Callithrix jacchus: one gene and its partners. The protein of the gene in region 1 interacts with the protein of each later gene in a pairwise test. Links are inferred from orthologs where the notes say so. Each region holds a gene or a part of one and is shown on either strand. Other genes may lie near its edges. The genes, in order: WASL, RNF8 and RHOJ.

Region 1 (10,201 bases):
ACCCCTATCCTCTCATATATGTAATGCTTGGACTCTTGTGCTAATTTGACAGTTAAGGAAATAGATGCTCAGAGAGACTGTACAAAAATTTTAAGTTTCAGGCTGGGCGCGGTGGCTCACGCCTATAATCCCAGCACTTTGGGAGGCCGAGGCGGGTGGATCACAAGGTTAAGAGATCAAGACCATCCGGGTCAACAAGGTGAAACCCCATCTCTACTAAAAATACAAAAATTAGCTGGGCATGGTGGTGCGCGCCTGTAGTCTCAGCTACTTGGGAGGCTGAGGCAGGAGAATTGCTTGAACCCAGGAGGCGGAGGTTTCGGTGCGCCGAGATCACGCTATTGCACTCCAGCCTGGGTAACAAGAGGGAAACTCTGTCTCCAAAAAAAAAAAAAAATTTTTAAGTTTCAATTAGTAGCAGAGTCAGGGCTAGAATCCTGTTCTTCTGACTTTTTGTATATAATAGTTTTTATCATAATATGGTTATGTTTGTGAGAACTATTAGTTCAGGCCAAAACTTCAAAGCCAAATATAGATTGAATTTCATATATATTGTGTTTATAATGCCCTTTGTGAATTTAGTTTTCTATTTTTTTCTATTTTCTACTTTAGGCACATTGGACATGTTGGTTGGGATCCAAATACAGGCTTTGATGTAAGTATGTTTTCAAGTCATATACATTATAACTCTAAATATATGGAGCTATATTGGCCTAGATTTTTATTTTTATTATTCGTTTTGGGGTTTTCTAGTATCTATTTGAATGTGCGTGTGTTTTGTGTATATATACAACTGAGGTTTAAACCCATATTATTGTTATGTCATTCATGGCTAAGTCTCTATAAAGACTTGGACCAAGGTTTTGTGTACCTTGGCTTTATACACTGTATAAATAAAATCCTTGTGCTTTGAAAGCCAAGAGAAGAAAATCATTTCTGCTAAGTAATAATTTCAGGGGAATGTATGCCAAATTGCTAGAAAGGAGTACAATCAAATTCTGAGTATTCAGTTGTTGAATTACCTAGATTTTTTTCATTCTCCTATTCTTTTTGGCAGTTTTGCCATTGCTTTATAGAGCTGTGAAACTGCTGGCAAAAATTAATCAGTTTGGATAAATTATTTTAAAGAGAAATTTGTTTTGTGATTGGAGTAAAAAATCCTCTTGGTTATTTTTGTTATAGCTACAATGTTAACTCTACAAACATACTGAGCACCTCTTTGTGCTGGGCATTGTGCAAGATGCTTGGAATTACAGGAAGATCCTTGCTCTCAGATTTTCTAATTAATTTACTTTTTTTGTGTTTATTCCTAATTTTACATACTTAGGACAAGGTAGAATAGATGAGCATTGGAGATGTCTGAATTATGAATAGACTAATAGAAATCTAAATGACATGCCTTTTTTTTGAAGGCGAGGAACAAAAAAGAACAAAATAGGAAATCTATCTGTTCAGTTTTTTTAAATAAGATCTTTTAGTTAGCATGTAAGTAATCATGTTAAAAGTTTATAAAGGTAAAATAATTTCATAAGGACACAGATGAGCCTTAAAATTAGGTTTTTTTTTTAAATTGAGATATATTTTTATAGTTAGCAGTTATCTTCTTTTGTAGTTGAATAATTTGGATCCAGAATTGAAGAATCTTTTCGATATGTGTGGAATCTCAGAGGCACAACTTAAAGACAGAGAAACATCAAAAGTTATATATGACTTTATTGAAAAAACAGGAGGCGTTGAAGCTGTTAAAAATGAACTACGAAGGCAAGGTAACATATTTCTATCAGCATTCTGTTTGGTTTTGTTTTAATCTTTTGAGGTTGGTTTCATGGAAAACAGGTACATTCATATATATATGAACCCTTCCTTGAGCAGAATGTTTAAGTTTATGAAAAACTGATTTGGCCCATCATACTATATCTTAACATTATTTTATTAAAACTAAAAAAATTTGTAAGGTTTTGCTTATTAAGTACTTATAAAAATCCATACAAAATCTTCCAGCTTTTCTATTTTAAAGTAAAAACTTACAGTTGCCTAAATGTTTTACTTAAGGAATACTGTAAACCACCAGATTTCATTGTAATTCAGAAGTAGTAATTTAAATATAATTACTTTCTAATTAGTAATATAAACATTTTCAGAATATAAATAATATAAATATTAATTTTGAAATACAAATTCTTTTTCTTGGATAAAGTATAAAATTTTCTTGTGTATCTGAGAGCACAATTTACAACCTTTTAAGATTTGATATCTTTTGAAGTACCTTACGTTTTAGTTTTGTCTTAATAATTATCACAGTAAAATGCAGATAAAATACTCTAAATTTTCCAATATAACAGTCATCTTTTTCCTACCTTATTCATTTAGGACTGCTTTCTTTTCTTCTTTTTGCATACTCACAATACTGTAGTTGAGTAAAAGCTCTAGTTAAAACATTCTTCTAAAAAACTTAACTCATTTTAAATTAGGCATTTGGTTTACTTGTGTCTTTTTCCCTGCCAATGTTCATTTAATCTTTGATTCATTGATTGACTCATATATTTTGTAAACATTATTATGCCAGTACTGGTCTCAGGATATTTAGATGTAAAGATAAGGTTTCTGTCATAAAAAATCTTAAGAGTCTCATATGGAAACCAATACGTAAATGAGCATAAGATCGTAATTGGTATTGTGGAAACACAGTGCTAGTTCCACTGAAACTAGCATGATGCTAATTTACTTTGCAAAAAATCTATCTCCAAATACTGTGGTGTTTTTTTTTTTTTTCTTTGGAGACACCGTCTTGCTCTGTCATCCAGGCTGGAGTACAGTTGTGCCATCTTGGCTCACTGTAACCGCCACCTCCTGGTTTCAGGTGATTCTCACGCTTCAGCACCTAAGTATCTGGTATTATAGGTACATGCACTACCACACACCCCACTAATTATTATATTTTTAATAGAAACAGAGTTTTGCCCGGTTTGCCAGGCTGGTCTCAAAGTCTTGGTCTCAAGTGATCCTCCTGCTTTGGCCTCCCAAAGTACTGGGATTACAGCCATGAGCCACCACACTCAGCCAAGTTTGTTTTCCTATTCTATCTTAACATTTCCACTTATGTAGGCTAAGAATGCTAATATCATTACTACTAGAATAATAGTAATTTTTGTTGATAACTTTAATTTTGCAGTATATAGAAATTCTCAGTTAATTTGTTAATTATCTGTTCATGTCTCTTGAATAAGCAATTAAGCATTTCAGCCAAGCAACCAGCCTCCCATAGTGCCATTACTAGAATTGCAGACTATTTTTAGACATTATACTATAAAAGTACAAATGTAAATTAGATGACAAACGCTTACATTTTGAAAGAAAAGTATTATATTTGGGCTTTAGCTCAGATTAATGTGAATGAATGCTATTAAGTTATGCTACACTATGTAATTCTAAATGAATTGATTTTATTTAATAAAAACTAAGTGTACTTGATTCTTTTTAAAGAGGGTGGTATTCATTTATTTTTATTAAAATGCAAAATAATGCTGATTAACAAAATGTTTAATTTCATTGGTGTATTTTCATTGTAAGTTTGTAAAGTAGAAAGTGTTTATTCTCCTTCAGAACTAATACTGATTCCTAAAAAGTAAACTGTTCTGTTTTAGCTCATATTATTTTTAAGCAACAATAAGAAAGTGATCTTTAGGCTGACAATTCTCAAACGAAATTGTGAGATCATCTGTGCTCAGGTATCTTTGTAAAATAAAATGTGAAGATGAGGCCCTTTTATGATATTATTTGGTTTTTATACATGTTAAAAATGAATTGCTTTTCAGTGTGGTTTTTGAGAGAAGAAAAATACATGTCTTCTTTTTTTCTGTTTGCATTTCAGCTCCACCACCGCCACCACCATCAAGGGGAGGGCCACCGCCTCCCCCTCCCCCTCCACACAACTCAGGTCCTCCTCCTCCTCCTGCCAGGGGAAGAGGCGCTCCTCCTCCACCACCTTCAAGAGCTCCCACAGCTGCACCTCCACCACCGCCTCCTTCCAGGCCAAGTGTAGCAGTCCCTCCACCACCACCAAATAGGATGTACCCTCCTCCACCTCCAGCCCTTCCCTCCTCAGCACCTTCAGGGCCTCCACCACCACCTCCATCTGTGTTGGGGGTAGGGCCAGTGGCACCACCCCCACCACCTCCACCTCCACCTCCGCCTGGGCCACCGCCCCTCGCTGGCCTTGGTCTGTCTTCTGACGGGGACCATCAGGTTCCAACTACTGCAGGAAACAAAGCAGCTCTTTTAGATCAAATTAGAGAGGGTGCTCAGCTAAAAAAAGTGGAGCAGAACAGTCGGCCAGTGTCCTGCTCTGGACGAGATGCACTGTTAGACCAGATACGACAGGGTATCCAACTAAAGTCTGTAAGTAAGCTTTTTTTTTTTTTTTAAGATCATCTGTGATAATGGAATTTTAAAGTAGTTTATTGAAAGACATTTTTGAAAGTTTATACTTTATTTTTCTCTTGCTAATTTATTCTTATCACTATAAATTTGAAAATATTTTTACATGCAATAACATGCATAAATTTTTAGTTCAGCTTTGATACATCTCTATAACCATGTAAGCCATATCTCTAAATCCAAATATAGGACATTTCTATCACCCCAGAAGGTTTTCTCATGCCTCTTCTCAGTTAATTTTTCCATAAACAATCACCGATCTAAATATAGATTAGTTTTTCCTATTCTGGAACTTCATAAAAATGGAATTTTATTGTATGTTTGCAATTCATTGTTCTAGACTTTACTTTCTAATAAAAGGTACTTTAATGAAAAATCCTTATTAAGCTCTGAGAATTAAAAATAGCCCTACTTGAAACCAGTTGCAATCACTTTAGGAAACCTAAACTAGTGATCATGTTCTGAAGTTTTCATGTTCTAAAATTTAGATTAGTAGAGAATCAGACTCACAAAAATTGAAAGAGTTTTAGTAGAATTTCTGACAGTGATGGCAAATAAATTTAGGATTATCTGATTTGGATGAGATAACCATTTAATTTTACAGGTCATTTAATCTTCTAGAGTTCAGCAAACATTTTTCTGTAAAGGATCAGGTAGTAAAACTTTAGGTTTATATAGACAATATGGCCTCTTGTCATGACCACTCTGCCTTTTTACTACAGAAGCATTACAGCCAGTACCTAAATGAATGGACATGCTTGTGTTCTATAAAACTGTATTTGGATACTGAAATTTGAATTTTATATAACTTTCACATATAAAAAGTACTCTTTTTATTTTCTTTGAACCATTTTAAAATGTAAATTCAATCTTAGTTTTTAGATTGTTAAAAAAAAAAAAGTCAAAGAACAGGCTGGATTTGTCCCATGGGCTCCAGTTTGCTGACTCCGTCCCATCCCATAGCCTAACCTGTCTACATTTACATACTTACTTTGGAGTCTTTTATAACTGTTCTCCAGGACTTCAGGCAGGTCATGGACGATAGACTTTTCTGTGAAGTAAACAGAGACGACAGAGGACGTTTTAATAGAAAATTATTTTCCAGTGTAGGGATTAAGGTAACTTTCTAGATCTAAGAAGCTTTGTCTAAAAGGAGAGTGATAGATAGGAAACACACTAATTGAACGAAAACATGTAAACATTAGCATAGATTTAAGAAGACTCTGATCTTTAAAATATATTTAGATCTTTTCTTTGCATGTATTCAGGATGACAGTTAAATAAATCTATAAACAATCATCTCTGTTCTCTTTCCCCATTTTGATCAGACTAAAGGTCTCTCAGAAGCAGTTGATGAACTTTAAAGAGTGGTTAGTGGGGAGAATTAATGTCAAAGTGACCACAGCCAGCTGGGTCCGGTGGCTTATGCCTGTAATCCCAGCACTTTGGGAGGCTGAGGCGGGCCTATCACAAGGTCAGGAGATCAAGACCACCCTGGCTAACATGGTGAAACCCCATCCCTACTAAAAATACAAAAAATTAGCTGGGCATGGTAGCACATGCATGTAGTCCCACCTACTTGGGAGGCTGAGGCAAGAGAATCGCTTGAACCCGGGAGGTGGAGGTTGCAGTGAGCCAAGATCATGCCACTGCACTCCAACCTGGGTGACAGAGTAAGACTCAGTCTCAAAAAAAAAAAAAAAAATGACCACAGCCCAGCTTTTACCTTGGAATCTGTGCTAGTTCCTATGTCACTCTCATTCCTATGTCTCCCACTTTTTGTTTTCCCTTTTCTGTTTCCTTTTTATAACCAACTTTTGTTTCTTTCGCTCATTTAGCTATAATAAGGTGATTTAAAATTTTTAATGAATAAAGTTGTATCTTCACTTACTTTGAAAAGTTAAGGTTAAATTTTCTATTTACTTTCTCCAATCCCAAAGCTTGCTTTCTTTCCCCCCAAAAAAACCTGTTAATATCTTTTAGAAAGAAAAATATTTTCTATTCTACATATTGGATAGGGGGCCGTTTTTATCCTAAATAATCACTTTCCTTTTGATTGCATTTAATGCAACCATAGAGTGCATAATCAGTGAACTATTGGCATGATATACATGTAATCTGAGTTCATAATTATTTTTTTATAAAGATCATTTTGTGGTTGAAATTTATGTGGCTATGTTTTCTTTAAGTAAGTCATCAATTTATTCTGTGATGAATATGATTAACATAAAACATAGATTAAAGAGCTAGTAGGAAGTATAAAGTACTCACATATGTTTTAAATTCCCTGGTTTCAGACCTCAAATAGTACCTTGTTCAAGTAAGTACTTCAAAAAATATGTTTGATTAGAGTGTGCTCACCTCTGATGTGTGCTATTTGCTTTACATTATCCCATTGCTTAAAGGTAGTCTAAATGTCCCTATTGCTGTTGTGCTTCAAGAGCCTTGTGCAGAAATACAAAACTCTGAACTGTTATCTTTTTCATTTGTGGTACTTCTGTATGAGAAATAGTTAATACATAGTCTTTAAAGCCAAAATACTAAGTATAGAGAATCTGTATCTTAGGGGGAGCCACTTTGAATTTTTTTAAAAAAAGGTGTTTAGTCCAAAAAGAACAAGGAGTATTCGAGGAAGAGTTGTACAGATCAAAATGAAAAGTTGAATTGTCTTTGAGAAATGATTAAGAATTTCAAATATATATAAAAAATTTTTAATATATATAAAAACATATAAAACATAGATAATCATTTAGTTACAGCTCTGCTGTTTCATCTGTAATAATTCTTTTTTCTTGAATGTACTTTGGCACAGTAAGTTAGGGACCGTTAGTTGCCTAGTGAGGCAGATATATTTTGAAAGCTGTTCAATTCATCTCCTAAAAAGGAATTACATACTATGAGAAAAGAGGTTCATTTTGAAGGTATAAGTATAACGTAAAGGTATAAAGCTGATTTTTTTGTAGGCAAACATAAGTTTCTACAGTTGTTTTTCAGTATCTCTAGTGTTCTTTCTACATAATAACTCTGGAGTCTAAATAAATAGTACCCTCTCTAAAATGAATTCCCTTGATAATAGCTTTAAAGTTGATCATCTAAGTCTTTATGTGCTGTAATAAACAGAGGTAACCCAGCAAGTATTATTCAGGAAATGGTTTGTTATCTAAATATAAACATAGATTTGGAAATGCATTGTTGGCTTATACATTAAGATGCAAAGGAAATATTTTTGAAGAATATCTTTAAGGCAGCAGTTTGTTTCTTGTTAATTTAATTAATCTTGTCCTGGGCTTGCTAGTTTGATATCTTTTTGTCTTTTACGATAAAAAGTGATTCTAAGAAAGTAAGACTTTCTGGAGACAAAGATTCTTTGCCGAAGATTTATTACTGAGTTTTGCTAACTTTATTTTCCAAGGTGTCTGATGGCCAAGAGTCTACACCACCAACACCTGCACCCACTTCAGGAATTGTGGGTGCATTAATGGAAGTGATGCAGAAAAGGAGCAAAGCCATTCATTCTTCAGGTAGAGAGAGAGAGAGAGAGAGAGAGAGAGAGTGTGTGTGTGCACATGTGTATTTAATAAATTCAAATGTTTGAAGTTCAATTTTTTTTTTAATTTTATGACTGTCTTTGCTAGCTTTCTGCTAATAGAGTAACTACTGATGTGGAGTCTAGGGTGTATCTTAAAAGTTGTTGCCTCTTTGACTAGTCTGTCTGAAACTTGACACAGCCATAGCCATAAATTGAAAGAATAGCTTTGGGAAAATTGACACTTTTGTTTCCTGTATCAGGAAATGCTCAAAAACTTTCTACCAAACCACTGCTAAACAGAATTTGAGATTTTTAGATTTCATTCCTGTGATATTACTATGACATAAAAAATTCAGGCGCTTTACCTCATCTGTGAGGATTAGAGCTAAGAATTTATAATTTTCACTGTTTCTAGAGTTTGCTAAAGAATACTAACTTTTCTTAAACCTTTATCATTTTCTAAACGGTTATTTGAATAAACCAGTACCTATTTTGAGGTTATTACTAAACATACACATACCATCATAGAAATGAATATTGCTTTAAAGAAAGAACAAGGATATGGGCTTTGCTGATTGGAGTGTTTGCGGTTTGCAAAATAGCTTTTCCAACATGATGTGCTAGAGTCAGATCTTACTAGATTTATTTAATCTCTGTGAGCCTCAGTTTCTCATTTGTTACATTGAGAGAATTCACAAAGCACATGATAGATGTGAGAATTAAATAGTATGTCACTAATCAGCAGATTGCCTAGCACATAGTAGGTGCTCACTAAATGTTGTCTTCCTTTTCTTTGTTTCTCTGTAAGGATGTGCATGTCTAGACCCTTGAGCAATGTGTGTTTTCCTTGAATAGGCATATTTGTTTCTATCCTGCATTACAGAAATGGAGATAAATATTTACTGTGGAATAATAATAAACTTTAACAAAACAACAGAAATCTCTGCCTTCATGGACGTGCATTAGGTCTAATGAGAGAGAGACAAGCAATAAACAAAGCAAACTAGAAAAACATACAGTATGTTAAGTGGTGACATGAACTAAGGACAAAAGTCTAATAGAAAAGGGAAATGAGTTACAGACTGTTGAGAGGGAAGTTCATTTTGAAATGGGACGATAAAGCCTAACTGAGGTGACATTTGAAAGACTAGAAGTTCAGGAAGTGAACCATGTAGAAAACCGGGGAAAGTGTATCCAATGGAAAGAACAGCAAATATAAAGTCTGAGAGGCTGAGATACAATGAAGAGATCAAGAAGCTTGCAAGGGAGGGAGGGAAAGAGTAGTAAGGACTGAAATACAAGTAAGTAGTAAGGCTTTGGAGACCCCCGACGGTAGCTTTTATTCTGAAGGTGATGGGAAGCCTTTGGAGGGTTTTTAGCAGAGCTGTAGTAATGATCCAAGCAAGAAATGATGGAGGCTTAAACCAGGTTTATAGCACCAAGAAGAAGTGGTTGAATATTAGTTATATTTTGAATGTGGAGATCACTGGGTTTGCTGTGGTTTGAAAGTGAAGGTAGAAGTAAAGGGTGGAGTGCAAGATGACTCCAAGGTTTTTGACTTGAACAACTGGAAAAGGGAGACTTAGGAAGAAAAAGTTTGAAAGGGAAGATTAGGAGTTTGGTTTTACATATTAAATTTGAGATATCTATTAATTCAAATATAGATATGGAGTAGCATTTGGTTATGAGTCTGGAAGTCATAAGAGAGGTCTTAATTGCTAGATTGCATGTCAGTAGGATATACATAGACACAGTATTTAAAGTTATGCTTATGTCTATGGTATAGTGTTCTTTAGTAAACTCTAGAAACAGTGAAAATTACCTAAATTGTTAGCCCTAATCCTCACAGATGAGGCAAAGCGCCTGAATTTTTTATGTCACAGGAATGACATCTAAAAATCTCAAGCTTAGTTTAAAGGTTGCTTGCTAGGAAGAGATAAAGGTCTTCATTCTTTCCAGGTAAGAGAATGTAAGCCTTCTGTGAAATACATGATTCTGAAAAAGAATGTATTCTATTCTGGTGTCTGTGAGTTCTGTTAAACATTTCCCTACAATTAAGTTTTTTTTTTAAATAATATATAATAGTCATGCCAGTATAATGACAATACAGGATTGTTTATACTTATTTTCAGACTTGTTGGCTATTAGCTTTTACCTATTTAACTATTATTGACTATTATTATTTCTGCAGTAGTATCTCATGATGGAATTATTAGCTACTTCCTGCTCTTCACC
Region 2 (10,201 bases), on another chromosome or scaffold:
ACATGCAAATCAAAACTACATTGAGATACCATCTCATGCCAGTTAGAATGGCAATCATTAAAAAATCTGGAGACAACAGATGCTGGAGAGGATGTGGAGAAATAGGAACACTTTTACACTGTTGGTGGGAGTGTAAATTAGTTCAACCATTGTGGAAGACAGTGTGGCGATTCCTCAAGGACCTAGAAATAGAAATTCCATTTGACCCAGCAATCCCATTACTGGGTATATATCCAAAGGATTATAAATCATTCTACTATAAGGACACATGCACATGAATGTTCACTGCAGCACTGTTTGCAATAGCAAAGACCTGGAACCAAGCCAAATGCCCATCGATGATAGACTAGACAGGGAAAATGTGGCACATATACACCACGGAATACTATGCAGCCATAAAAAAACGATGAGTTTGTGCCCTTTGTAGGGACATGGATGAACCTGGAAACCATCATTCACACAAGAACAGAAAATCAAACACCGCATGTTCTCACTCATAGGTGGATGTTGAACAATGAGAACAAATGGACACAGGGAGGGGAGCACCACACACTGGAGTCTGTCAGGGGGATATAGGGGAGGGACAGCAGGGGATGGGGAGGTGGGGAGAGATAGCATGGGGAGAAATGCCAGATATAGGTGAAGGGGAGGAAGGCAGGAAATCACACTGCCATGTGTGCACCTATGCAACAATCTTGCATGTTCTTCACATGTACCCAAAAACCTAAAATGCAATTAAAAAAAAAAAATTAAAAAAAAAAGTGTGAGTGAAGCAGCAAGACTTTAATGAACTTCTAAACAAGTGGTAGCGGGTAGGATAAATCCCTAGGGCTTGGTGGACAGAGGGAGATGTAGCTGATAAACAAGGGATTAGATACACTTCACTATGAGCAATAAATATATGACCTATTCATACCCAGAGAAATTCTCTAAACCAGTCCTTTTGCCTTTAACATTTTGGTACAGAAAAAGATTTTGCAGCTATACCTTGAAGCATGTCCAGAGCCGCCACAAATATTAATCAACAGTAACTTGTCCCTGAACATACTTGCCTATAGAGAGTTCTGTCCCAGTGAAGATGTGAAGGTCTACATCTAAATATGTAGACATAAACCAGCCTCTATTAATTTCAAGGACTAGTCTAGGCCGAATAAGGGAAGCAAAAAGTACCCACAAGTAAGTAGTGTATACTCTCAAAAGACCTATTTAATCCATGGCCTTTGCTAATACTACCAGTTCAAGGGGATGGCAGAGATCAGAATGACATTTATAAATTGCTCAGAAATAAGACAACACTACCCCTGGTTGTTCCTTACCCTGAGCAACCCAAACGAAAAAGCTTATTCAGTTCAATGGTGACTGGTCCGTCTGAGTTCTAAGTAAGCAATGGGGAATTTCTGACATTCAATATTACCTGAACCACTGGGTGGGAGTAAAACATGTGGTTCCTGACAGATAGGAAATGACATTTTGGGCAGGGACAGGATCTGCTCCAGCCTAAAGCTTTGTGCAAGAGCATGTCATCTAAGCAAATGAGTTAGGGATGGGAACACATTTGGTCTCACCTTTATACAGCTAAGACAGCCATTATTTTACCTTCCTATTACTGGCACTGTGGAAGGTATTTATCATTCAACCCAACAATGCAGCCACGTTGCATCTGTCCCATCACATGCTAGCTGCTCAAAACAGAAACAAAAACATTTTCTGCCTTTTTAGCCTCTTACCTCCTGGGTTAGCTACAGAGTTAACTAACCTTTCTAGTTAACAAAGTGTCAGGTACAAGGGCAAAGGAACCAGCTGACCTGTACCTGCCCTGGGACTAAGTGATCTGGCCTTGGCCCAGAGAAAAGATAGGTAAGTCAAGACAACTATTGATTTAATTGGACTATACTGTGGTTTTGTGGCATCTTGACCTTCACCTAACCTTCCCCCGAATTCATGTTGGTTCTGAGTTGCCTCAGCTTTGCATCCTGAGATGAGTTATGTCCTCGCTGGCTCTGCTGGATATTTTACCCTATCTTAGCACCCCAACTCTGGCTCCTGATCTCATCAGTGTGCAGAAACCTTAACCCTTTACTCAATCCAATTCCCTCATCTCAAAAGTTTACTGTTCCCATTCCATTTCCTGTCTTTGGTGCTCAGAATTTGGTACCTGGCCCAGAAACTGAGAGCTCTGGCCAGAGGCTCATCAAGTGCCTGCCCCACCCCTGAAGACCACTCTTGCCCTTTCCTTCCGTGTGGTACCTGAAGATGCTGTTCCTCTTCCTGGAAAGTCTTCTCTAGTTGCTCCACTCTTGCTTGCTGCTGAGCCTGCTCTGCACACAGTTGGGACTGTAAGTCCTGCAGTTCCTGCTCCATCTTCACAATTTTCTTTGAGTGCCCCTTTTGGGTCTGCTTTTTCACATTCCTAACAGCTTCTTGTTTTTCCTGCATCTGTATTTTCAGTTTCAGAATCCTGGACATGGTCACCTTAAACAGCTGTAAGGTGCTCTGAGATGCTGAAGAGTTTGAGGCTTTCTGCTTATGATGAGCCTCTGTGACTTTGGGGAAGCCAGGGTAAATGGGAGCCCCTGTGGTCTTCTTACTTGGCTCAAGGGCAGCCAACTTAGGATTCAAATTTTCAGAGGGTGTACTGGCCACTTCACCTCTCCCCTGTGATTTCACTGACTGACAAGATTCACAAGACACTTTGTTTATTTTGGATTTCAAATTTGAAGGGCCTTCGGCTCCAGGACCCTCTAATTCATCCAAACTAAATTTCCTTTTAGTTCTCAATCCCTTATTTTTTTCTATCATCTGGTCATTCTTTGGGGAAAGACAAGGATATATCGTCTCCCAGTCTTCTTCAGTAACTTCATATTCATACTCTGCATTCTCCTTATTCTCCAGAGGCACTCCAAGTTGGATGTAGTCTCCCTTATGAATGGAATAGACTCTTAAAGGTTCCAGACGCTCTCTGTTCAGCCAAACACCATTTAGACTCTGAAAAGTTAAAGAAAGAAATAAGGTTCATGATTTTCATCCTCTTAATAGAATCTCTCTCCTGCTATTGTAAAACCTTTGGCCTTTTCAGAAGGAAAACTCTTGATAACGAACTGAAAAGAAAGAGTCATAAACTACCATCCTTAGAAACAGCATTTTTCAAGCAGTGCTTTGGCTTTTTACCTATATTTCAGTCATGCTTCCACAGAGAACTGCCACGTCACAGGCAGGAATCACCCTATATTATTGGTGGTTAATTTACTCAAACACATACAATAGCATGAAAGGAAACTGAAACTGGATAGTTCCTATTGACCTAAACTGGAGGCAATGAGGCAATGTCCCAAAACTAGAAAAAACGCGATTAGTAAAGAAAGCAGTATCTAAGGGTGAGGCCCATGAAGTAGGCTCAAATACTATCTCTGGATGTGGTTCCTTAACGCACTGGTGAAAGAGCAAGCACACATAAACCAAAAGAAAAGAGAGTATTATATCCTGACTGGGGTCAAATGGCAGGTAGGATCCGACCCAATTAATACCAACAGGGGTATATAGGCAATACAGGATAGCGGTTAAGAGCTGGAGCTATGGATTCAGATGCAGGTTCACAGTCTGCATGGCGTTCGGCAATTTACTTAACCTCTCCATGCCTCAGTTTTGTCTGCAGGATAGGGATGGTACGGTACCTACCTCATACTGTTCCTGTGAGGAGTGAATAAGATAATGCATGTAAATCACTTAGCACAATAACTTACACATAAATATTTCCTGTCCAGGAGTGGTGGCTTACAGCTGTAATCTCAACACTTTAGGAGGCCGAGGTGTGCAGTAAAACCACTCGGGAAAGTTTAAAACAAAGAGGGGTGCCTGGGTTTGGCCCTCAGAGGGAGTTAATTGGTCTAAGATAGGAACTAATTATTAGTATTTTAAAAGTTACGTTTATATACAAACTGTACCAGGATACAATGACCCTTCTTAGTCAACTCAACATTTCCCCCATTCCCAGGCAACTACTTATCTGTTCTCTACCCTTTGCCAGAATGTAACACAAATGGAATCAGTGTCTCCACTTTTTTTTTTTTTTTTTTGAGACGGAGTTTCGCTCTTGTTACCCAGGCTGGAGTACAATGGCACGATCTCGGCTCACTGCAACCTCCGCTTCCTGGGTTCAGGCAATTCTCCTGCCTCAGCCTCCTGAGTAGCTGGGATTACAGGCACGCGCCACCATGCCCAGCTAATTTTTTGTATTTTTAGTAGAGATGGGGTTTCACCATGTTGACCAGGATGGTCTTGATCTGTTGACCTCGTGATCCACCCGCCTCGGCCTCCCAAAGTGCTGGGATTACAGGCTTGAGCCACCGAGCCCGGCTCAGTGTCTCCACTTTTGAGGCTTTCTACTCTCACTTAGTGTAATGCCTCTGAGATTCATCCACACTGTTGCATTACCAGCAGTTTGTTATATTTTATTGCTGAGTAATACTGAAGGAAGTACCAGTGGAGCACAGTTTATCCATTCTCTAGTTGGTTTTCTTAACAGTTTTTGATGATTATTAATAAAACCACTACAAACATTCACATACAAGTTTCTGTGAGAACATAAACTTTCATTAATCTTGGATAAATACCTAGAAATAGGATCACTAGGCCAGGCGTGGTGGCTTATGCCTGTAATCTTAGCACTTTGAGAGGCCGAGGCAGGTGGATCACTTGAGGTCAGGAGTTCGAGACCAGCCTGACCAACATGGAGAAACACTGTCTCTACTAAAAATAAAGAAATTAGCCAGATGTGGTGGTGCATGCCCATAATCTCAGCTACTTGGGAGGCTGAGGCACAACTGCTTGAACCTGGGAGGCAGAGGTTGCAATGTGCTGAGATTGCGCTATTGTACTCCAGCCTGGGCAACAAGAGCAAGACTCCATCTTAAAAGAGAGAAAAAAGAGAAAGAGAGGAAAGAAAGGAAAGGAAGAAAAAGACAAGGAAGAAAGATAGAAGCAAGGAAGGAAGGAAGAAGGAAGGAAGGGAGGGAGGGAGGGAGGGAGGGAGGAAGGAAGGAAGGAAGGAAGGAAGGAAGGAAGGAAGGAAGGAAAAAGAAAGGCGGGGGGAGAGAAAGAGAATGAATCACTGGACAAGCGTATATTTGACTCTTAGAAACCACCAGTTTTGACTAGGCACAGTGGCTCATAACTGTAATCCCAGACTTTGGGAGGCCGAGGTGGGAGGATCACGAGGTCAAGAGTTTGAGACAAGGCTGGCCAACATGGTGAAACCCTGTCTCTACTAAAAATACAAAAATTAGCTGGGCACAGTGGCAGGCGCCTGTAATCCCATCTATTCGGAAGGCTGAGGCAGGAGAATCACTTGAACCCAGGAGGCGGAGGTTTCAGTGAGCCAATATTGCGCCACTGCACTCCAGCCTGGGCAACAGAGCGAGACTCCATCTCAAAAAAATAAAAAGAAAGAAATCACCAGTTTTTCAGAGTGGAGGTGCCATTTTATATTCACACTTAAGTGTTTAGAAGTTCCAGTTATTCTGCATACTTGCCAGCACTTGGTATCATCAAGTCTTATTTTAGCAGTTATATTAAGTGTGTATCCATCAATATCTTTTTAAAAACTCTTTACTACGGCCGGGCACAGTGGCTCACGCCTGTAATCCCAGCACTTTGGGAGGTCGAGGCAGGTGAATCACTTGAGGTCAGGAGTTCAAAACCAGCCTGTCCAACATGGCGAAACCCCGTCTTTACTTAAAATACAAAGTTAGTCAGGCATGGTGGTGCTTGCCTGTAATCCCAGCTATTTGGGAGGCTGAGGCAGAAGAACTGCTTGAACCTGGGAGGCGGAGGCTGTAGTGAGCCAAGATCGTGTAACTGCACTCCAGCCTGGGCAACCAGAGCAAAACTCCATCTCAAAAAAAAAATGAAACTTTTTACTCAGGCGGAACATGCAAATGTAAAAGTGCACAAATCAACGAGATGAACAGCCACAAAATGAACATCTCAGTTTAACTGCTGTGAGGCCAAAAACAAAACAAATCCCACATTATCAGTATCCCAGAAACCCCCCTGTGCCTCCTTCTGGTCAGCAGCCACTCTGGCAATAAGGTGGCTACCAGCCAGATTTAACAGCACGTTAATTTTGCCTGTTTTTACATACTGTATAAATGGCATCATATAATATGTATTCTTTTGTCTCTGTCTTCTTTCACTCAATGTTATGTGAGACTTATCCATGTATTATAGTTCATTAATATTCACTACAGCATAGTGTTTCAATATAAGATTATTCCACAATGCATCCATTCTACTGTTGATGGACATTTGTACTGTTTCCCTGGGAGTGAAAACACTGTGTCAAGAGCTATATATATGTTCAACGTTAATAAATAATGGCAAATAATTTCCCAAAGTAGTTGTACCAATTTGCACTCCCAACAGAAGAGCAAGAGCATTCTATTGCTCCATATCCTTACCAATACCTGGCATCACTAGTCTTCAATTTTAGCCACTCTGGTGAATGTGCAGAGGTATTCCATTATGGTTTTAATTAAAATTCCCCAGCTCATTAATGAGGCCGAACAACTTTTCACTGGATACAACCTTTTGTGAAGCGCTTGTCTCTTGCTCATTTTTAAATTGGGCACATCTCTTTTTATTGCTTTGCAGTTCTGTATATACCTCAGGATAAGCCCTTCATTGACTATAAAGTATAGCAAACATCTTCCTCTCTGAGTTGGCCTTTCATTCTCTTAATGGTGTCTTTTGATGAAGGAACATTTTTACTGTACTACCATCAGTATTTTTAAAAAGTACCCCAGATGAGAGTAAAAACTGGAAACAGGGTTGATAACCACTGCTCTAGTTGCTGGAGGACCAGAAGCTGAACTATTCCACGCAGCAAAGTTTGTTCACATAAGAGTATACTCAACAGAGACTTCAACTGCCAGAGTCTGCAGAAGAACAAAGGTAGGAATAACCACACAGCAGGTGAAAAGCAACAGGAGAGGAGGGGAAGAATGAGAAAGGCTCAAATAAGACGTGACTGAACCTCTAAGGCATTTCATACTGTGACTTTAAAACAACCAAATTTTTTTTTTTTTTTTTTTTTTACTGTTTTGAATGAGTTATAAAAACAACCAATTTTCTGAAAGAGCTGGATACCAATACAAAGGACGGGCCATCTGAAGAGCTTATGAATTAACCAAAACCTACACAACTAGAACCATCTTCATACTGTGTGCAGACTTAGCTGTCCTCCAAGGTTTTTTTTTTTTCTGTATTTTAAGCCAATTTTAAACCAAAATCACATTTCTTGCTATTTTTTAAATCCATACTTAAAGTCTCACTTTCTGGCCATTCCAGCAGATGAGAGAGTGCAGCTCTGAGTTTTAACTTATTAGAAATACCTAGGTCTTGAAAGAGACTTGACAAATGACTTGAAACACAACCACAGCAATAATGTCCTACAGCTAAAATTCAGGTCCCTTATCAGCAAAAGAGGGTTGCCATGGCATCATGCCAGAAGGAAGCCAGAAAGGGAGCATCTATAGTCAATAGAAAAATGCAAGGGGTAGGGGGGATTTACTTGTAAGAATTGTTCCACCAAAATACCCCAGTCCTAGCTTCTCTTAAAAATCAGTTACCTCACAATCACAGCTAAAAGGTTTAAACAGGTTGTTAAGAAACCTCTCTTTCCTCTCTACTGCCTTACTGAGACCTGAGAAGAATCACATGGTAACAGCAGCCCTAGAAGGAAGGGTACAAAGCAAACACCGGACAGCGAGCCCGGAGCAGTCATGATCTGACCTTGCACAGGCTGCCTCTGTATTCCTGTGGTCAACATTCAAATAGCACTAAAGTTGATCAGCTGGTGGCTTCCCAACCTATAAAAATCTGCTAATCCCGTAAGTGGATCACATCTACACAGCACACAAGAAAAGGAGCAGCAGAGAACTCACCTCTATAATATTGTAATCCCAATGATCATACAGACTACTCTGATGAGGAAAACATCTTTCCCTAAGCTGTTCTGATATACACTATTACAGAGGCTTCAAAATCTTGCAGCTGTATTTCAAATTATGCATAATTAATTTTGTGTGGCATCATAAAGCCAGTATAGCAAATTGCTTATGTACTTTACTGGTATTTGACACAGGGCATGGCAGAGAAACTTAAGTCCTGGCTCATTAGAGAGAAGGCCTTGAGCAAGACAGTTTATCTCTCTGGGCCTCAGATTCATCTGTCTACATAAGGGGTTAAACTAGATAATCTCAGTACCAATTTTTATCCTGCTCACAGTGCCTTGCTAACTAAAAGTGCTGAACCAATTTACTCGGCATTTATATACTGTCTCCTTCAATACAGTGCCAACTCAACTTAATGCCAGAGCAGGAAGATACTTTCCAGCAGCTTAAGTCGAGCAGTTTTATGCATGCAAAATGAGGCTGCCGGGCAGATCTGGAATATCCTCCCTTCTAATGGTACCTTTAAAATCCTAACCAGGGCAGTGAAGCAGTATGAAATGGTACTTAAGGACATTTTATACTCCCTAAGTCTTAACTGTTTACATTAGAATTTCTCTCACCTCATAGTCTGTGTTTTCATTACATTCCTGGGTGCTTGTATATCTGCACTTTAGGCATTCTTTTTTTTCTTTTTGATACAGACATGGCCTCACCATGTCAGCCACACTGGAGTGCAGTGGCTATTCACAGGTGCAATCCCAATGCTAACCAGCACAGCAGTTTTGACCTGCCCTGCTACCAACCTGGGTCAGTTTACCTCTGCTTAAGCAACCTGGTGGTCCCCACTCTCAGGACGACACTATATTGATGCCAAACTTAATGCAGGCACCAGAACAGCATAGCGCATTATAACCGAGAACTCATGGTCTCAAACAATCCTGCGGCCTCAGCTTTCCCAGTAGCTAGGACTAGAGGCATGCGCCGCCACAACCGGCGCATTAGGTACTTTGTAATTGCTGGGCTCTGAGTACTATTACACCTCCCTCAATATATTTACCACTACACTTGTGGTTTTCAAATTTGTTTAAAGGAGAAAAACCCGCTATTCAAAGGAAATCTTCAGAACACCAATATTTAAAACATGTTTTAAAAGGCAAGGGAAGGGAAGGTTGCTCAGATTGAAAGGAGTGAGGTGATTTGCAGTAGCTTTGAAGGAAAAAAATGGAAAAAAAAAAGTGAGGAAGGAAAGGAGCTAAGCAGTCAGATCAGTTTCTTCTCCGCCTGTTCACTGAGCCGTAGTGTACTCCAGAAGCTTCAGGAGATTCTACAGATTTCCAGGATCTCTGGAGCTTCGCCTCAAACAGGCTAATTTGCCCAGTAACTTAGTCTAGTTTCTGGAATAGGACCTCCTACCCCAATTCAGGCATTATCTTCAAGGTAACAAACTTCACCCCAAATCAAGAGAAATTATTTTAGCATAATCCAATCTCTGGCAGCATATGGAAGTGGCTGCCTCTGGAAAAGGAAACTGGATGGCTAGGAAAGAAGAAGTTATACTTTTGAATTTTATACCATGAATTACCTGTGCAAAAAAAACCCCAAGTAATTTTAAAATAAATAATATTCATTAGGCTTCCATGAATTCTGTACCTTGTTGTCCGTAATTGTCCACTGACCCTCATGATTCTGCTTCAAAACACAGTGGTTTCGAGAAATCATCAGAGGGCAGATTTTTGATACCAGTTGGTATGTGACACCAAATCCTCGTCCTACAGTCACCTGGGAAGACAAAAACAATGTAAGAAATACAATGTAACAAGTCATTGTGCTGAAAAAGGGAGGTTTTTACAAAGCTTGTCAACCAGCAGCATATGCAGGTCCTGACTTAAGAAAACAGACACGTGTGGAAGCAAAACAGTGCATCTGCTATCTCCTCTTTAGCTGCCATGAAAGCCACCAAGTAGAAAAAGGCAAACAGTTGTGACAAGAGGAGAAAGCTGAAAAGAGTTATCCATGTACCTCAGGGTTGGCAAGATCTTGAAAGGTCATCGGGTTCAGTGACCATGAGATAGAGGAATTCCTTCTACACATCCCATCAACTCATAAACACTGCCGGTCTGGGAGCGGTGGCTCATGCCTGTAATCCCAGCACTTTGGGAGGCCAAGGTGGCAGGATCACAAGGTCTGGAGTTTGAGACCAGCCTGGCCAACATGGTGAAACCCTGTCTCTACTAAAAATACAAAAATTAGCT
Region 3 (10,866 bases), on another chromosome or scaffold:
TTCACCCCCACAAATATCTTGATCAGTCCAAACAGATTTTTTTTTTTGAGATGGAGTTTTCCTCTTGTTACCCGGGCTGGAGTGCAACAGCGTGATCTCGGCTCACCGCAACCTCCACCTCCTGGATTCAAGGGAGTCTCCTGCCTCAGCCTCACGAGTAACTGGGATCATAGGCATGCACCACCATGCCTGGCTGATTTTGTATTTTTAGTAAAGATGGGGTTTCTCCATGTCGGTCAGGTTGGTCTCGAACTCCCGACCTCAGGTAATCCACCTGCCTCAGCCTCCCAAAGTGCTGGAATTACAGGTGTGAGCCACCACAGCTGGCCCAAACAGATATTTTTTATGCAATTTAGTGGCCTGCATTTAACAGTTTGGAAACACGTTTCTAGCTTCTAAAAAAATTCAGAAGGTCGAGCAACTCTAGGCCAGCATTTCCTCATCAACAGAAACTTTTAATAGCTTACTATATCCATGACAACTTCGCCCTTGTGTTCATTGATTTTGCTCTTTCAGCCACAATTTCTTAACGTTGGCTAGAGACAGCCCAAAAGAGTAGTTAAGACTTTGGCTCAGGAGGCAGACAAATTCTAATCTCTGCCATTTTCTTAGTGGGGTGGCCATAACAGGGGTTACTTAGCCTCCCTGGGCATCAGTTTCCTGAGCTGTGAAATGAAGATGGTGATAGACTTTTCCTTGCACAGTTCTTGTGACAATGAAATTAGCTCATGTACCACTAGGTCCAGCTCAGCAAACTACAGTTGGTGTCAAATCCATGAGCCCTCTCAGACATGGCTACAGCTAGGAAGATCTCTTTGCCTAGATCCCTTCCAGTTACTTTCTGTCTTATTCTATAACTTGTCCTGGCCCCCAGTGGAACAATACGGAAGAAGTACTAAGTTTTCTTTTACTTGATTAGTCATTATGTTTGTTTTTTTTTAATTTCTCATCAGACTCTTGTATCTTCTGTACATCACTGATAAATTTCCCTCCTTTTGAGATAATAAGTGTTAGCTATTATAAAACAATCAAAAAAGTGTTTTTTTCCGTTTATATCCTCAATCTCTACTTGTTTCTTGAAAATAAGTCATTTGGGTAGAACACTTTCCAGATTGCTTGCATGTGTATCTGAACGAGGAGCCTCGAATCCTGAACCCTCCCAGATGGCTTCTAAATACTTGACTGTGTAGGTCGCCACATTTCCTTGAGACCATTTTTCATTTCACATCTTTGAGGGCACAGAAAATTTTTTTAGCAATCTGGCTCTGCTTTTTCCCTGAACCAGGATGAATTCTTCTCTGACCCTTAGAGAACTCGACACATGGTAACAATACCTACCTCATAACTCGGTTCTGTTTCTTCACACGTTTCCCAAATCACAACCATAACCCGATGACTACTTTTTCTATCAGCACAACATAATGTTATATTAACCCAGTTAGACAATAATGCCTTTATCTGCTATTTTATTGTCTTCAGAAATGTCTGAATTAGAAGAGACAAGTTTGGGCTACTCCTGCTCCATCGAAAGGCAAAGCCTGGCATGCTGTCAGGAGCACTCTGTGGGGAGGAGAGTGGGGAGTGCCCTGCTTCTCCTGCGGGACTCCAGGTGTGAACGAGCTCAGCCCAGCTGTCCTGGAATTCCAGGCAGAATCAATCCTAGGCTTGGGATCCTTAGTGGAGAGGTATTCCAGACAGAAAGGTGCCACAGCACTTTCTAGGTATTTTTTCAGCATGACTGACAAGTGCCACCACATTACAGTCAAGTTGGAGTCACTTAGATGAGCATGCTTTTCATGTGTGTTTGAATCAAGCATTGAACACAATCCCAAAACGCAACAGAATGCATTTCATCATGTTATTAGGAAATTTTTCTCTGCCCTTTATTCTTCTCTTGTACCTAACTGGTTTTAATTATTTTTAAAAGTTATTTCCTAATCTGGAAACCAAACCATGGTCAAAATGAAAGCCGTAAAATAGATTTTCAACATACAACATCTTTTCTTTTGGCATTTAATACAGTAACCACTCTGGTCAGAAAAAAAATGTAAAGTGCATAATCTCTGTCAGAGAGGTTAGGAAATAGTCTCTGGGCCCAACCAAAACAACTCTATTTGATGCTTAGTTTTCGTATCTGTGGCCTTTGAAATAAGTAGACAACCTCATTTCATCAACTGTCAACTAGACCAGCTTCTTGCAGAGCTGAGTGATAGGGGTCACAGTTACTGTCACGGAGCAAGGAAAAGAACATGTATCAAGAGACCCAGATTCTAGGTCTGTTTCTTTCACTTTCTGGTTGTGCCCATAAGCAATTCATTTTACCTCTCTGGGGTTATTCCCACTCCATTCTAAGGTGAAGCACAAGCATATTTAGTCCACACATTGCAAACTGGCTGGCTGCTGCCGAATACATCCCACATCACGTCTTCCTTGGCTCATGGTAAATATTTTATAAATTGGTAAATATTAAATTTAAAAATCCAAATTTCGAACTCCTCTTGAAAAATACAAAAATGGGCAACAGTGAACCAACATTACCACTTGGAAGCTAAGTAAGGCTGCACACTCTAGAGGGGGTGTGCGTGCAACAACCCACCGTAGTCCCCACCTCTATATATTCTCTTGCACCAGCCCCACTTTATCATTTACATAAGCTAGTGGACAGGATAGGTCTGTGATTTTGCTACCTTGTTTTAGCCATTTGTCTGCTGTGCTTTCTGGGAACTCACCATTTAGCCAACCTCTGCTGAATCTGCTTTAATTTTTCAAAGTTTTTCTTCAAATGTAAATCAAAAAATAAAGTCATTTCTCCAGGTGTCCTTAATAGTAAAAGGCCAACCTCACATTGTTGCCTCTTCCTGAGCTTATGAACAATTAAAACCTCAGGTCTCCTGCACAAGAAGCTGACTACAAATATGGTCTGTACTGGTCTGTGATTTTTAGATGAGAATCTATAGTTCTAACCTGAACTTTTGTATTTCTCAGGAGGTGTTTGTGATTATTAAACACACCATAGTATAAAATCATCCAAATATTGAAAATGAAGTTCTGTGCAAGTATGAAATACTTTATCATTTAAACATATAGACTGTACACTGACAAGAAGGATGCCTTTGGCAGTAAATGTATTTATGATTATTGTTATGTTTTATTGTTATCGTTACATGTTTTATTGGGTTTTTATAACCTTTTAAAAACTATGCCTTTTAAAGTATGTTAAGGCTGAGCGTGGTGGCTTATGCCTATAATCCCAGCACTTTGAAAGGCTGAGGCAGGCGGATCAGCTGAGGTCAGGAGTTCGAGACCAGCCTGGCCAACATGGGAAAACCCCATCTCTACTACAAATACAAATACTAACCCAGCGTGGTGCTGCATGCCTGTAATCCCAGCTACTCGGGAAGCTGAGGCGGGAAAATCCCTTGAACCCAGGAGGTGGAGGTTGCAGTGAGCCGAGATGGTGCCACTGCACTCCAGCCTGGGCGACAAGAGTGGAACTCCATCTCAAAAATAAATAAATAAATAAATAAATAAAGTATGTTAAAACTAAATAATAATGCCAATTAGATATTAGTTTATTGAGGGATACCTTTAAAGAGGTACAGTTAAATCAAGAATGACCTATAAAACTATTATCACTCGCTCTCTTTGTAGCCGCTCTATCAACCAAGCTGACACTTTGCCTTTTATCACACCAAAGGAGATATATTTCACTTGTACATGATTTACATGTTCTGCCTACAAATGAGAGAATATGAAAAACAAGATCATGCAGCCCTGTTCTTCACAAAACATATTGAAATTATATCATCGGTTTTGAATTCTCTCCTAATTTTTTAGATCCTCTTATTTTTTATATTATTAGGAATAAATGGCTAGGGATCAATTTCATGACTCACTGCTTTCCAGAAGTGATCCACAACCATTTATTGCTAATAAAGGAATGTAAAAATACAAAAATACAATAAAATAGGATGACAGGTACAAATTGAAATGCAAAAAAAAAAAAAGACAAACATAATCCAAACCACCCACAGGCTGTTTGTAGGACAGGCAGAAGTAAGTGCTTGTCTGGGCGGTGGGTTGATACCACCATGCTTTTCTCTCTGTTTTTCCTCTCATGCTTCTCTCTCTTTTCTGTTTAAGATCGGAGCACAGTGCTACTTGGAATGCTCAGCTCTGACTCAGAAAGGTCTCAAAGCCGTTTTTGATGAAGCCATCCTCACCATTTTCCACCCCAAGAAAAAGAAGAAACGCTGTTCTAAGGGTCACAGCTGCTGTTCAATTATCTGAGGTTGTCTGAGACCTGCCTCCACCCCATCCAGGGGTGAGAATGGCAGCCAATCTCTGCGGCCAAGCTCCAGCCAAAAAGGAGGGCATGACCAGAAAGGAATTCCCTTTGCACGGAGGACTGCTCCGCCACCCTGGGAGCCCTCCCAACACCACACTCGTCAGCCCACTGCCACGACCTCCCTGCCAGCCAGAAGCATCCGTACTGCACACTCTCCGAGAATGCTGGGCCTGGATTGCAGACAGCGCCACTGCTGACCGTGTCAAAAACAAAGCCAAAGGCCTTCTTACATTTTCCATCTCCCCGCTCATGAATGTGAAGCTGATAGGAAACCACCCCAGGGAACCAGAAAAACAAACTTGGTTCCTCTATCGGTGGTCTTACTTGATGTCTTTTACAAAACTTGGGACTATAACGCTAACCATTTTTTTTTTTTCTGAATCTGTTCTACCCACATGTCTCACATTCATTTGTATTATTTCAAGAAATGTACTAATTTCCAGTTTACTCAGGCCTTACAAATCCATACCAAATCAGCCTAAAGACAAGGCGTTTTATATTCATTTCTATTTTCAGCATGTTTCTACCAAAGCTATGAGAACCAACACATACCTCTGAATGCCTGATTATAAGAAGACATGAGAAGACTTTAAAACTTCTGGAAATTTACAGAGCCATGATTTTTGAACTGGATTGAAAAAAGCCATCTGAATTGTTGCAGGTCCACATTTTTGCCAAAGATGCACTCTGAAAATGCTTATTAGTGGTCTGACTTTTTTCCATATTATATTGCCATGACAAACTAAAAATGAACTGTGTTTAAGAATGTAGTATTTCTGGTTTTCATCCAAGTTGATTGGGGGAAGAATATGCAGGATCCATCTTTTACAGTACTGTTTATTCAGTAAAGTGGACGTTCCTGCTCCTCCCTTTCCCCATTGCATGCCTTCTTCCTCCCTTGATTTCACTTTTTCTCATGCCCAGATCCTTGTGTTCTCTCCAATTGTAACTCAGTTATAAAAGAAAGATCTGAGCATAAAAACACATGTTTAATAGCACCTAAAGGTTAAGGAAAGTGCCTTAATTTTTCTATTTGCTTCAACCAAAAGTGCTTCTCAGCTTGCCTCATGTAAGTTCTCATTTCATTCCATGTAAATGACATTTTCCAGTTACAACTGGTACTGAGATATTGCCTCTCTCTTTCCTTACTCATCCTCCCAAATGTCTGTTAGGGAGCCATATCCGTGGATACCAAGCTCCATATCCATTTGTCCCCTGCCCTCCACAATGTGTGACATAGAACAGGGACGTGGCCCTGGGAAAGCAAAAGCTCCCAGTAAGGAATCCTGTGCCCAATTATGTGAAACAATTCGAAACATCTAGGAATTTTTGTATCATAGAGCCAATTACTTCCTACCTTGTCATTAGAGGCTATGAGGGCTTCTAATTAGTCTTAGTTGCTTATAAGTGCCCTGAAATCACCCAAGTAGGCACTTAATTTTTTTTCAATTGCATGAGCAAAGTGCTTCTTAGTGGTATGAAATTACAACAATTTTAGTTTAAGACTTTCCAGATTCAAGCTCCCACTGTTGGAAAAAGCCAGTCTTTCTAATCTCTTCTGCTACTGGAGTAAGCACATGAGAATTACATGCTAGCCAGGCACAGTGGCTCATGCCTCTAATTCCAATACCTTGGGAGGCTGAGGTGAGTGGATAGCTTGAGCTCAGGAGTTCAAGACCAGCCTGGGTAATATAGTGAGACTCTGTGTCTCTATAAAATATCCAGGTGTGGTGACACACACCTGTAGTCCCAGCTACTCAGGAGGCTGAGGTGGAAGGATCATTTGAGCCCAGAAGGTAAGGCTGCAGTAAGCCATGACTGTGCCACTGCACTCCAGTCTGGGTGACAGAGCAAGAACCTGTCTCCAAAAAAAAAAAAACCCTACAATTTAAGAACTATTTCCCTTCTTTCCCATCTAATTGCTAAACATTTTCTTTCATACACACACACTCCGCTGACTAGAAAATGGGAGTTTTAAGTCAAAGCTTGACATTTGGAGAAAACAAGGACTTTCTGCCTTTATAAATGGAAATCAACTGTGTATAAACTATAACTCTGCAGAGGTTATGAATTCATCCTTTACAAACAATAATGAGCTTTTAGTCCTGTAATAAATGAAATGTTATTAGGCAGTTTTGTTGCATGATTGCATAGTTACATCTTGCTAACGGGCCACTAATTTCTCATTGATGTGGGTGAAAAATTGAGGGCAGTGTGCTTCCAGGTATATGCACCAAACAGGCAAATAGCTCCCCAGGTCACCACTTCCCTAACGGGCCACAGAAAGTAACTTGATCATGATGGCGAGATCACTCTCTCACCTAGAACCAGCAACTGGATAGAGACTGTTGTTACTGTCTGCATGGAGCACAGGCTCCTAGGGGTCTTAGGAGCTAATCACTGAATAAAACACTCTAGAACAAAGCAATTTAAACGAGTTAATGTTATTCTGCCAAATCAATTAGTTATTCCTTGTTCCACGGCAAGATCCAGTTTGTTTCACTAAAAAGTGTTTTCTGCTACAAGATTAAGCTGTCTTCTGAGACCAAAGATAAGGAGAGACATAGAAATTTGAAGAAGGATCCTTTAATGGCCCACACCATCTTCCGAAGTCAAGAAGTGGCAGCTGATATCCATTTGAAAGTAGAGTCCTAACTTTTCAGAGCTAGACAAGGCCTCAGAAACTATAGTTCAATTCCTCATTGCACCATTGAGAAAGTCAGGCCTAGATGGGTAAAAAGAGGTGTGTTGTAGCAGTGCTGGGACGGATCCCAGTTCTTCTGCTTCATACAGTGCTCTTCAACTCAATACTACAGTGTATTCGTTATCACACATATTAAGCTAGAGTTCTGTTGCCATGTTATTGGAGTTGCGGCTGTTTATCCTGTAGATTTTAGCCACATTTTAAACTCAAAACTTCATGTAGTTAGGCCACTAAAAATAAAGTAATCCATCAAACTGGTAATACACTGGAGAATCTGACCTACACACTAAGATACTGGAAATCCACAGTGTACGGCAATTTAGCCCCCATCTAATAATGGCTCAATCAGGTAGCTAGTTACACATATTGATTTCACTCAAATGGTTGGTTGTTTGGTAGAATGAATGGACTCCTTGGGCTATTTGGGGAACACAAAAGGACTAGGACACAAGTCCACAAAGCCACGTCCACAGTAAGAAATCCCGGCTGATTTCTGCCAAGGAAAGTTACAAAGAATAATTACTTGGTCACGTGGGGAAATTTCGACATAAAAGAAGTAATGGATAAAAGAAAGAAAAAAGAGCAATTGCTGAAGACAGTAACTACAGCAACCCTACACCAGAAAGCACTAAGCCAGGAAGTCCAAAACTAAGTCATAGACATACGACAAGGCGTGGGAGTTGGTCCTGAGACTTCAGTGAGAATACGTCCAATCAGGATGTGCAAAGAGCCATTTGGATGATTTCTAGTTCATAAGAGAAGTACTAAATGAAGTGGATGTGACCATACACAATTTGCACAGGACCCCCAGGAAGGAAATAGTATTACATGGTAGTAAAAAAGCAATCACAACTATACTCACAATTTTAGGAGAAAATAAAACTAAATCCAGAATTTGAAGCCAACAAAAAAATGTCATTATTTAGGGTCAAGTTCCTGTGAACACTACCTTCCAAAGTAGAACATCTTCAAGAAGAAATATTTGACTTGAGGTAAGGCTTTCAAGATTGCCGTTTTACATTCATAAAGGCAAACTCATCCTTGAGGCCAAAGTGATAGAAGATTAGAAATTGAGGCTCTGCTTTAAAGAAATGTTGACATCATGCTGGAAAGTATTATCCAGCTACTTACACGTTCGTTTTTAAATCCATCTCTATGTCTAGCTGCCAAAATGCAAACTGCACATTCTCTCAACAGAGAGCGCCACAGGTCACCAGCTAGTATTCTCCCAGGAGTCATTGAGTAGGCTGTCCAAGTACAAATAGGGAAACTCAACAAACTGTTTTCATTTCAAGGACCATTAGAAACAGAAAGGAAAAGAGAAGGACAGGGAAACTTAGTTTCTAACGAAGGAAGTGAGGCACTTTGAAAAAGAAAATGTTTAGAGAATGGAGAGGAAGCTAAAACCAAACACAGCCCAACCACACAGCTGACAGTTGTTCCGGGAAGTTGGGAACTTCTGCCTGGCCCCTAGAAGCACAGGGAAGAAAGGACTGTTAGTGTGAAGAACACTCCGAGGTTCTGGGTATCCAAGCAGAGTCGGTCAACGGGGCTAACCATGTGATAATCCTGAGTAATTCCACCTCAGAATTCACTAAAAAGCAAGTGGAATCTTGGGCAAAGCCTTTTGGGTCTTTAATAGCAATGAAGGACATCACCCTCTCCCTTTCTCTGCTTATACATACACAGCAGGCAGTCAAGGAAAACTTGCCAAGTAATATGAGTGAATAAATGATTTTGAAAGTCTCATTGAGCAGGAACATGAAGAGGATGATTTGGGGATAGTTGGAAGGATAGTTACTTGTATAAATAATATTAATTCATCTTCAGTGAGATATTTCTAATTAGAAAAAAATTGTACTTAAAATGTACAACCATAGTAAAAAAAAAAAGAAAATACAAGATAAAGCAACAGTTCATGGTGGCGCAACAGTCGACAAAGACCAGAAAGGACATTACAGCACATGTTCTACTCAGCAGCACGTTAGCCCTCCGAAGCTCAGCCAGGCTATTTTGGAGATCTCCTCGGATTAGGGGAGGAATGAGTCAAAGGGGCTTGGCTGCTCTGAGAAATGGTGAGCTCCAAGTTCAACAATAGTTCTTGGCTTTGAAATTTCACTACAGGAAATTAGAGTAAAATCTGCACCATTCATCTTGGACACAATCTATTTTTTTCTCCTTAGAGGATATTATGTCAAAAAACGAGGGTTGCTTCAGTGTGTGCGTGTGTTTTAAGTATGTTCTGCTTTGATACTTTCATTTTGTTCTGTGAGTTCTTCAGTGACTCAGAAGCTCCATGATACTATAACTAGAGTAATGTTGTATTTTTAGCCATGTCCTCGAAGCCTCCCAGTATATGTAGGGGTATCTGCCGAACAGAATCTGATCAGTGTTACAGGGAAAATGATGTCTAAGGCTCTACAAGGAGAGGGTCCCCAGGGCCCACACCTGAGTCATGCCTTGAAGCAACCTTAGCACACTTAGCCTCCCACTGCCTCCATGCAAGTCAATCTTTTGAGCTTATGTTAGTTCTTTGGGGGGAAAAAAATAGAAACAACTTCTGAATAGGGCAGTATGTTTGGGGCTGCTTTGTGAACACATATCTAAAATTACCTCCATTTGCCATTTTTTAAATCAATTTTTTTCAAGCAATCAGATTCTTTTCTCCTAGAGGAGCTATGGGCAAGAAAGCTAATGAATTCTACATCCTTCTCATCACCTGGTTTAAATTGTTTTCTGCTCTGAGTAAACAGTAATTACTGCTGAAGTACATTTCAGCAGAATTTCATCCCAATTGCAACAGTCATGTTTCTCCCAATGTAATCTCTGCAGAGGAAATGATCATCAAGGGAAGCAGGCTGACCTGCTCACGGGACGGCGTTCTTACAATCTGCATCTTATGTAATGGCCATTCTGTCTGCCTGTGTCATTAATGGAATATTATTTTATGCATTCTTTAACATTACAATTTATTTTGTGCCATGTTCTGACTATTAAGTCATTAAATCATGTTTTTTCTATTCATATTTCTGCGTAATCTGAGGGTATCTCCATCTGCCATTCCAGAAAATTGCCTTCCCCAGGCCTCTGTTAGAACAAGAAATTGTCCAGCCCCTTGTGACTCAAAATGTGACTCAGGAATCAGCAGCCTCAGCATTACCTGGGAGCTAGCAAGGACCATGGAATTTCAGACCCAGTCAGAATCTGCATTTTAACAGGACCCCAAATGATCTGTATACACAGTGAAATAGGGGAAGCACTGGTCTCTAAGATAACAAAATTCATCATCAGTCTTTACATCCAAACATATAGCGCCTAATGAAGAACCATCAACTTAGCCTGTGTCTCAGATGCTACCTTTTGAGTATTCCTTAGGCTAATATTTGAGTTGCTCACTTTTACTGGATGAATAAAAGGGCTGTCAGACGTCTCTTCTTTTGCTTGTCATGTGCTGCCCAGCTGCAGGAAAGGAATATGCATATTTTAGAATCAAAAGCAGAAAAGCAGCATCTGGTTTGAAAGATCTGCTAGATCTAAAGTCCTTCTGTTCTGAAAGCTTTTTTTGTGTTTATTAGGGTGAGGGAAAAAAAGCTCCCCCCAAAATTATTTTCCATGAAGTCATAAGAAAGATTCATAGCCCATGAAGTTTTAAAAACTCATGAAATAAAGATAAAACACATTTCTGAGACATAAAACTTTTGGTGAAGTTTCTGTCTTCGTTGCTTAAAACACGGAGCTCTAGATGACAGAATATGAGTTGATTACAAACAACTTGTCCTCTAAACAGGACACAGACTCATGCCAAAGACTTGTA

The links.
Region 2: the proteins of WASL (region 1) and RNF8 interact in binary tests that used the Homo sapiens proteins (3 or more experiments, as listed by UniProt). The two-hybrid records come from large-scale screens. The link is inferred for Callithrix jacchus from reciprocal best matches to the Homo sapiens genes WASL and RNF8.
Region 3: the proteins of WASL (region 1) and RHOJ interact in binary tests that used the Homo sapiens proteins (3 or more experiments, as listed by UniProt). The two-hybrid records come from large-scale screens. The link is inferred for Callithrix jacchus from reciprocal best matches to the Homo sapiens genes WASL and RHOJ.

What each region holds. Positions count from the first base shown.
Region 1 is NC_133512.1:123,325,361-123,335,561, forward strand, and holds part of WASL (actin nucleation-promoting factor WASL), read left to right. Parts: intron 1-612; coding exon 613-655; intron 656-1,612; coding exon 1,613-1,766; intron 1,767-3,871; coding exon 3,872-4,398; intron 4,399-7,849; coding exon 7,850-7,958; intron 7,959-10,201. UniProt on the Homo sapiens protein: Regulates actin polymerization by stimulating the actin-nucleating activity of the Arp2/3 complex. Involved in various processes, such as mitosis and cytokinesis, via its role in the regulation of actin polymerization.
Region 2 is NC_133505.1:45,701,225-45,711,425, reverse strand, and holds part of RNF8 (E3 ubiquitin-protein ligase RNF8), read right to left. Parts: intron 9,729-10,201; coding exon 9,600-9,728; intron 2,986-9,599; coding exon 2,248-2,985; intron 1-2,247. UniProt on the Homo sapiens protein: E3 ubiquitin-protein ligase that plays a key role in DNA damage signaling via 2 distinct roles: by mediating the 'Lys-63'-linked ubiquitination of histones H2A and H2AX and promoting the recruitment of DNA repair proteins at double-strand breaks (DSBs) sites, and by catalyzing 'Lys-48'-linked ubiquitination to remove target proteins from DNA damage sites.
Region 3 is NC_133509.1:97,984,636-97,995,501, forward strand, and holds the end of RHOJ (rho-related GTP-binding protein RhoJ), read left to right. Parts: intron 1-4,143; coding exon 4,144-4,290; 3' UTR 4,291-6,480; downstream 6,481-10,866.